2 linked regions of the Oryzias latipes genome follow. The protein of the gene in region 1 interacts with the protein of each later gene in a pairwise test. Links are inferred from orthologs where the notes say so. Each region holds a gene or a part of one and is shown in the gene's direction. Other genes may lie near its edges. The genes, in order: exoc8 and washc1.

The links.
Region 2: the proteins of exoc8 (region 1) and washc1 interact in binary tests that used the Homo sapiens proteins (3 or more experiments, as listed by UniProt). The link is inferred for Oryzias latipes from reciprocal best matches to the Homo sapiens genes EXOC8 and WASHC1.

What each region holds. Positions count from the first base shown.
Region 1 is NC_019882.2:17,525,419-17,529,810, reverse strand, and holds the start of exoc8 (exocyst complex component 8), read left to right. Parts: upstream 1-1,421; 5' UTR 1,422-1,548; coding exon 1,549-2,698; intron 2,699-4,392. Other genes in the region: sprtn (sprT-like domain-containing protein Spartan), read right to left, coding at 156-475. UniProt on the Homo sapiens protein: Component of the exocyst complex involved in the docking of exocytic vesicles with fusion sites on the plasma membrane.
Region 2 is NC_019864.2:19,195,780-19,200,265, forward strand, and holds the start of washc1 (WASH complex subunit 1), read left to right. Parts: upstream 1-1,670; 5' UTR 1,671-1,801; coding exon 1,802-1,809; intron 1,810-2,380; coding exon 2,381-2,521; intron 2,522-2,930; coding exon 2,931-3,042; intron 3,043-3,131; coding exon 3,132-3,278; intron 3,279-4,486. Other genes in the region: IQ motif and SEC7 domain-containing protein 3, read right to left, coding at 1-128. UniProt on the Homo sapiens protein: Acts as a component of the WASH core complex that functions as a nucleation-promoting factor (NPF) at the surface of endosomes, where it recruits and activates the Arp2/3 complex to induce actin polymerization, playing a key role in the fission of tubules that serve as transport intermediates during endosome sorting.

The sequences.
Region 1 (4,392 bases):
AAAAAAAAATTTTTTGCTTTCTCTAAAGCTTTTATTTCCCTGTTTCAACGTTTCCATTAAAAATCCATTGTGTTTTAGTTTTGATCTAAATCGGTGAGGTCAGTTTAGGCTCCGAAACAGCTTAAACCAAATGTCCAAAGTCAGAATAGACTCACAGGGTCATCCTGGGACTCCACTTGACCTCCACTCCGCTGAGTTTGCCCCAGAAGAACATGTCATTGAACTCCAAAAACATGGCTCTAACATCAGGGCTGGGATCCAGCATCTCCCAGGAATCATCCACGATGCTTAGCGGCCGCTCAACGCCGGAAGTTGGCTTTCTATCCCTGGCCCCACCGGCAAGCTCCACTTTCCGCTTTTTGCTGTTGTTTCCGAACTCCCCTTCGTTAAAACTTAGAGATGAAACCAGTGAAGATTCATATTCATGGTCAAACTGCTCCTGTAGCTGAACGGCGAGCAGAAAGTCCTCGTCCATCACTGCTGCTATTTTGCCATTTAGCTTTGGCTAACCCGAACTTCTAAAAACCAATCAGTGCGCCAGTTGTACTACATTTAGCAGTGTAAACTCATAAAGAAAAAAACGAATTTATGTCATCATTTTTTCGCAAAACGGACGCTTAAACATAAAAACGGAAACAATTTAATAAAAAAGAGTAAGAAGCTGGAGCCAACAACTTCCTGTCATCTTCCACAAACCTTCCGGTAATGTTTTATTTTATTTTTTTCACAATAAAACATATTAAAGTTTTTGTTCAAAGTATTTTGAATATCTAAACGTAGGCACGTATGTGTTTTCTTAGTATATTATTAATTGAAATTGAAAGCCGCGTAGCTTTTAAGGAAATTGTTTTTGCATCAATGCAATTTTACTCTGTCTTTTGGTCTAACCTGCTGTCAAGTTCCGCGAAGTCCCGTACGTGATTGTTTTTCAAATTAAAAAAATGAGTTATTAAAGGCGTTTTGGTCCCAAATATGGTTACTTAATCATTTTTGTCTATTATAATGATATGTTTTAAAATTAATTGTCTAAACTAAAACACTGTGATATATATATAACATGGGCACTTTTTTATGCTCAGTATATCAATATATATAGTAAAAAGAAAAATTCAATAGTTTAATTTGGGTAGCTTTGACGGTGATCTTTTTTTTATAATTCAATGTAATTATTTTGTATGCTTTGGTTACCACTTCCGGTAAAGATTGCAAGCATCGCTAGCACAAATATTAGCGATGGGTTCTGGGAACTTTAGTAAACATATATCTGATATTTAAATTAAATTATTCAATTGTTACAATTGAATAAAGTTTACGAATCATAATCAAAAATTTATATTATCTTATGCCTAAAGATAATCAAATAATTTTTTTACGATTTTATTTTTAAACTTTTTCTGATCACGTGACGTTCGGGTGTTGCTGCTTACAGCTTCCTGTTGGAGTGAAAGCGGATGTAAAAGGAGCTTCGATGCACTCGTCTTGTTCGTACATTTCATAGCCATTTTACTAATATTTCGCGTTCGTAAATAATTGCAAACACAGCTAAAGATGTCGGAAACAGGGAACCGGCTGCGGAAACTTCTCGAATCTCCCAATTTCGATCCGCAAACGTACGTCAAACAGCTGTCACAGCAGTCCGACGGCGACAGGGATCTGCAGGAGCATCGGCAAAAAATCCAAAACCTGGCCGACGAAACGGCCCAGAATTTGAAGAAAAATGTCTATAAGAACTACAGGCAGTTCATTGAAACCGCCAAAGAGATTTCCTACCTGGAGAGCGAGATGTACCAGCTGAGCCACATCCTGACGGAGCAGAAGAGCATCATGGAGAGCATCACCCAGGCCTTGCTGTCCACAGACAAGGATGAGACCTCCAAGGAGATGCAGGCTGCTTTCCCCAAAGAGACGGAGGAGGTGAAGCAGAGGGCGCTCACCTCTCTGCTGGAGAAAGTCGAAGGAGCCAAGAACATCATGGACATCCCGGGGAGGCACCTAGTCTACAACGGAGACCTTTTTGAGTTTGACGTGGACAACATGTCCCCCATCCAGAAGGTCCATGCTTTCCTCATGAACGACTGTCTGCTGATCGCCACCTGGCTGCCCAACCGCAGAGGCACCGTGAAGTACAAATACAGCGACCTGTACGACCTGGAGAGCTTCGCCGTGGTCAACGTCAAGGACAATCCCCCCATGAAGGACATGTTCAAGATCCTCATGTTCCCGGACAGCCGCATCTTCCAGGCAGAGAACAGCAAGGTCAAGAAGGAGTGGCTGGAGATCCTTGATGAAACCAAAAAGAACAAGGTGTCTAAGGACAGACACAAGAAGGAAGAGGAGGCTCCCACGTCCCCCATCAGATCTGAGGTGTCCACCAACCCTTTCGACCTGGAGGACGAGGACCCAGCAGATGCAGAGGAAAGCGCAGAACTTGGTATCGAGTGGATTCAGGAGCTCCCCGAGGACCTGGACGTGTGCATTGCCCAGAGGGACTTTGAGGGAGCCGTGGACCTGCTGGACAAACTGAACGAGTACCTGAAGGACCAGCCCTCCACTCAGAAGGTCAAGGAGTTGAGGTCCAAGGTGGACGAGCGGGTGCGACAGCTGACTGAGGTGCTGGTGTTCGAGCTGTCTCCGGATCGGTCACTCCGTGGTGGACCTAAAGCGACCCGACGTGCCGTGTCCCAGCTCATCAGACTAGGTCCTGGTTTGGTTCTTTTCTTAATTTCCAGAGAAACAGAGAAGAGATGATGTTTGACTAACTTCCAAAACATTTTCTTTAGTCCGTTAAAGCCAAAAAAAAGGCAACATTTTTAATTCAAACTTTTATTTAGGAGCATCAATGTCGTTTGTTTTGCAAAAAAAAAAAAAAGTGTTCAAAGCCCACTCTTCTGGATCTGTCAGGCGGGGAAGTGATGTTGAAAAAAAGTTTCTTTTAATTTAATTTTAGGTTTTGAAGGTCAACATTTTAAGGGACCAACCAGTGTAATCCTGCTTTACTCCTGTTTGGGGTAATGGGGTCACTGGAGCTAAACCAACAACTCTTCAGTGAAGGCGGGGTTCGCCCTGGACAGTTCGCCTTCCATCACAGGGCCACACAGAGACAAACAAGTTCACACATTCACACCTAAAGGTCAATTCAGAGTCACTAAAGCTTTAGCCACATGGACCTGTACGGGGGCTGACCTGTACAGGTGCCCTGGGTTTTTGGGTTGTCCAGGTCTGTGGAGGGGAGTAGAAAGTAGACCGGCCAGTTTAAGGCGCATCTTAACAGGAGCACAGGTGTGTCTTGCAGTTCCCTTGAAAATGGAACCTACCATTGTGTATGGTAAGCATATTGTGAAGTATTTGTAAGGCTAACATAAGTTACACGCACTGATAACATACGGGTGATGTTGCCGAACACCGCCCAAACTGCCACACTGTAGTCGTTATTAACCCTTGTGCTATCCAAGGCACTTTAACATTGGGAGTTGGGTCATCTAGACCCACTAGACAGTTCGCTGAACCTTTTTTCTTCAATGATTTGTGATCTTCACTGGTGTCCATGGATTACATGAAATCTTTCCACCTTTATCCACCTTTGTCATGGTAGGGAGAACATGTCAATGTAAGGGTGGGGTCATCTAAGACAGCACAAGGGTTAATGAGTGAGTACTGGTTCCTTACTGACTCCAAGCAAATGCTGACATGTAAGTGTCCGTAGGACAGGACACTCACACAAACTACACCATTATCATCAAATTTCTAATGCTACGTTAACACCAGGCTTGGAAATGCGTGTTTGAGTGACCACTTTCAATGAAAATTCTATGTAAGTGCTCACGTAAAAGCCCGTTTTGGGCCTCCGCGTTCAAAGCTCTCTCGTTGACGCGTCTCTACGCAGGTTTTTAGGTCAGTTTTCAGGCTCTACGTACAAAACACGCAATCGAACGTGTGCTGAAAGTTTAACTAGTTGTACTTTGACCAATCAAGGACTCTGATTTGGTAGTGAGGTATGAGTAGCATCCTTTTCAAAACACTGAATCTTGGAGGTGAAATACTAATTGCGGTTTGTGCCCGGCCAAAATTCTATGACACCAAGGCCTTCCTTTATCAAAATAGAGCTGTGAAAGAAAAAGCCTGGAGCAAGATTGGCACCGCTTCAACATTTCGCAGGAAGCATCTTATAACTGTGCGCTACTATCGGGTAGCGACAGTCCAGTATGAGCACGTATGCTGAAAGTGCGTTCAAGAACCCGCGTTCAGCGCCATGCATGCCCAGTGTGGAGTTAGCATAACAGTCAGGCTACACAGAAGGAGTGCGCACTTATCACTTGAACAGCACCGTGCGCAGGATTTGGGGGGGTAAAGAAAACTATAAAATACGTAGAACATGGCTGCGTCTCACCTACT
Region 2 (4,486 bases), on another chromosome or scaffold:
CGTCTGTCCAGCTCCTCTATCCGGGCGCGCTGGGTCTGAATGAGACTCTGCTGGTTCTGGACGATGGTTGTAAGCTCCCGCAGGTACAGAATCGCCTGCACTGGGTTTTCTAGCAAGCTGGAGCTCATAATATCCGAGGCAAAAGAAGGCAAGATCAAACGACAAAGAGAAGAAAGACTGTCAGGAAATGAAAATGCAGATGTCCGTGTGCGTGAGGATGAGAAGGTGAAATTTTGAATCGTTTCTCTTTCCGAAAAAATGATTCTGTGTAAGGAAAGAGGATGCCACGACAAGCTACTCCCTACTTCTCAGGTCGTTTCCCTCAATTCTTTGCTCTTCCTCTCTCTGCTGAGTGCTGCTGATGAGAAGAGGCAAATCCAGATGTGACAGGAGGGAGGGGAGCGCTTCTAGACGGATGCGTCATTACGCATTCAGGAGAAAAAGCAAGGACAAGGACGCACCCTATGGATACAAATCAGTACTGCATTCTGTTTTGTTTGAATTATTTTTCACTTAACTGGTTACACAAATGATCTAAAAATAGACTATTTTTTATTAGGATATTTTTTAAACAATCATATCAGGGGAATTACAACAAAACGAGGTTTCACTGTCATTTTCTAACGGACTGTTGTGTCTTGAAGGAGATCTGTCAACACTAAGCCCTGATGTCCCTTCATAGTTTTTCTTTATGCATAGTTTTTGTAAATTCCACACCAATCAGACTTATTAACTGAAGTGAATTTGGAGGTTCAATCTACAGTGTTAATGGTCATTAATGAATAAAGTGGGACATTTAATGGGGGATTAGTAACTTCTTTTTAAATTCACATTGGTTTCTTTGTTGTTTTTCATTTATTTTGTCGTTACAATTTACTTTTTATGTCAGAATATTTAATAAATATGCACTGCTAGATTATAGATACTTTATTAACTTTCCTTCTGCTTGCAGTTAAACTATTATGTCAAGGTTGTTTGATCTGAATATGGCTGATAATTTAAATAAAAAAAATAAGAAACACGTTAGCTAAAAGTTTCATCTTTGCACTAAAAATAGCTTTTAATCCATGGTTTGGTAAAGGTTTACTAATATAAACCAAAAATGTGTTAAAGTTAGCAGATGTAGAATAGAATAGAGAGAAAAGAATAGAATAATAGAAATCTAAATAAAACACAAAAAAAAGCAAGTAAAACTTCAAACTAGAAAAACCTCAAAGATTCTGCTCTCCGAAAAAAGTAATTTATGCATAAAGCCTTTGCTGGTGGCAAAGGCTTTATGCATAAAATGAATAAATAAAAAAATAAAATAATAAATAAATAAATAAATAAATAACAAAATAAATCAATAAATAAATACATAAATAAATGTAAGTTCGTCAGTTGCCTAAATATGTAATACACCTACACGAATTAGACATTTTTAAGCAATTTAGATTTTTTCTAAATACGTAATTCATGCTAAGCACTGTAAACGAGTAGACATACCCCCCCCCCACACACACACACACTTTTTTTAAACTACATTTTAAAAATTACAAAAAATTCTGGTATGACTATCTGCACTAGCTGCCTTTACTAAAATGTTAGTCTTGAGGGGGCAAAACTGAACCACTGTGCAAGATGAACTTTTAGTTAAAAAGTTTCCGACACACCGTGAATGCACCATTTAACGCAATGGCGTGGTCACGTGTTGCTCAGATGCGGAAGTGTAAACTGTTTTGCTAAATAAAAAGCTACAGCTATCACCGACAGTCTAGATTGTAATTATTCTTTTAATGAAACTCAACTGTAAATCAAACCAATGGTCAGGTAAGAGGCTAGGTTGTATGACGACGTGGTAATAACGGGTGATGTTCTCAGTTTTTGTGTCGCTCTTTTCCTAATCTAATAATTAGTTTATTTCTTTTTAGGATCATCATGTACTTGCAAATGGTGTTCACAAGGTTTCAGCTAGCCCTACAAAACACCCAAAAAAATAACGCGACGTGTTTGGCAATAAACGGTTGTTGCAACATCATTTCAGCGCCGCTGACTGTCATGTGAGAGTCAAATGAGGATTTATGAATTTTATTTTTTCTTTCAACGAGATGTTAAAAAAAGTCAAATTCCATTTTAGTCCTAAAAAGAATAAAGGCCGTTCACCTGGAACTAGTATAAAGGTTTTGTCCAGGTTATATTTAACATACATTTCTTTGTTAACTCAACTTTAATTGTTTTTATTTAAATTGTTAATATTTCTTTGTGCTAATAAGAGGCCTTAATGCATTCTTTCCTTTGTATCCTAAATTTTACTATTGAATATATAAAGTTAGTTGAAATAGAATAGAATAGAATAGTATAGAGCAACTAACAGTGCTATGGTGTTGCTGTTGTTTTGCAGGATGACACACAGACACTGCCTGGAAGCCCAGGTGTACTCGGTCCCTCTGGTGCAGCCGGACCTGAGGCGGGAAGAGGCTGTCAATCAGATCGCTGATGCACTTCTGTATCTAGAGGCAATTTCCACCGACATTTTTAGAAGGCAAGCCAAAAAACTAACTTAAAAAAAGGGGAAAATCTTTCAAAAGTATGTCAGTTTTGCATACTAATGGACACTAACTTCCCAAAAATTGGTTTTTAATTTCAAAAGTGACTCATTACCGTTACAATATTTGCTGCCACCAACATTGATAGTATTTATAAAAGCAGTACTGAGTGATAAAGCTCTTAAAAAAACAACAACTGTCTGTTGACCTGTTTATTTATTTTTTACCTTGGGTCAAGACATAACTTGAGTTAATGTTTTTGTTATATAATGTCCAAAACAACACATCAATTATTACAATGCATTTTTTTGTCTAACATAAATGGCTAAACCCTTTTAGCACTTAAACAATAATTGGTAAGGATTTCAAATAACTGCATAACCTTCATGCTGGTCCTGCTTGTAGGGTTTCAGAGAGCGTGGAGAAAAACCGCCACCAGCTGCAGAGCGTCTCTGACCGGATCCGACTCGCTCAAGCCAGGGTTGATAAGATTAAAGGCAGTAAGAAGGCCACCAAGGTAACAAAGCCTCATCTTTTTAGATGAAAACTTCTACATTGGAACCATGGTGTGTGACAATTGCAGAAGCAGGTCAAATTGTGTTGCAGGTCTTCTCCAGTGCCAAGTACCCGGCCCCAGAACAGCTCCAGGAATATACATCCATCTTTGCAGGGGCGGCAGACCCTTCCTCACAAAGCTGCTCCAGGCGCAGGATTCAGAGTAAACTTCGGCCTTTTGATGAGAAGGTTCTGCAGGTGAGATGAATGCACAAAAATGTAGATTTCGGTTCAGGTTTTGGCATCTTCTCCCATCATGTGACTGATAAATAGCATCTGCAGTTTCAAGTTACAAGCGTTGCATTGATTTTTGTGGTGCTGCATTCAGAGAAGCAGTCTAACTCACTTAAACTCCGCTGTATCCTGCTGGTTGGAGATTTCCCGTTGTGTTTTTCGCCAGCATGCTTCATGCTATCGTTGGCAAAGAGCAGATCTCACTGTCTCCAGCCGCTGCTGTAACTCTGGCATCTGGAGGGATGTGCGTTTAAGATAAGCCTGAGGGAGAATACCTAATGAGTTTTGAGTAACCATCAAAAGAATCAAAAGTCCTGGTTCCAAGAACGTCAAGTTGTCTTTCCCACATTGAACAAAGCCTGTTTCATCTTCAGGAAGACTTTAAATGCTCTCCATTCAGATACTTGAGGAGGCATTAGCCTCGTTTCCACTGAGCGGTACGACACGGTTTGGAATGGTTTATTCAATTCAGGTGAGTGTTTCCACTCAAAGTTGGACCGTCACGGTGCATTCTGGGTGTAGATTGCCTGCATTGCTTTGCGTCATAGTAGTACGACTACTGCAAAAGCGAAGCTATCAACAACAACAATGGAGTTCATCCAGCATATACAAAGAATTTAACGCTGTTTGACAAAAGATTCCGTTTGGAAACATTGGCGCTGGTTTGGCGCTCTCTTTTATCATAACGACCTTCTGCCAATCAACGAGTTTCTTCGTTTGATGATGGTAGCTCCGCCCTAACCGTTCTATTTCATTTCTGTATGGACCTACAACCCACGGGGTCCCAAAAATTACGGTTCTGTACGGTTTAATGGATCCGTTTTAAAATGGAAATGCTCAACGAGGCTTTAGTGTTCAGCGAGGTCCGTCAAATACTAACAATGTGCAAAATTGAATCAGAACGTAAAAAGAGAGATGTTGGAACCCAACAGGTGTGTACTTGCTTTTTTATAGCAAACAGAAGCTGGTAATAATTCCTACATTTACTTTCAACTTAACTCCTCGAGATTCTTGAATCCCTTTAAACCCTAAATCAGTCTTTTTTTTTTAAAACATTAATGGACACATTTTTTGTTTTTCAACTAGAACGAACTTGTTGATATTGAAAATTATCAGGATATAAAACCTATTTACACTTTAAGATCCACTAGTCTGTGAATGCAAATAAATCC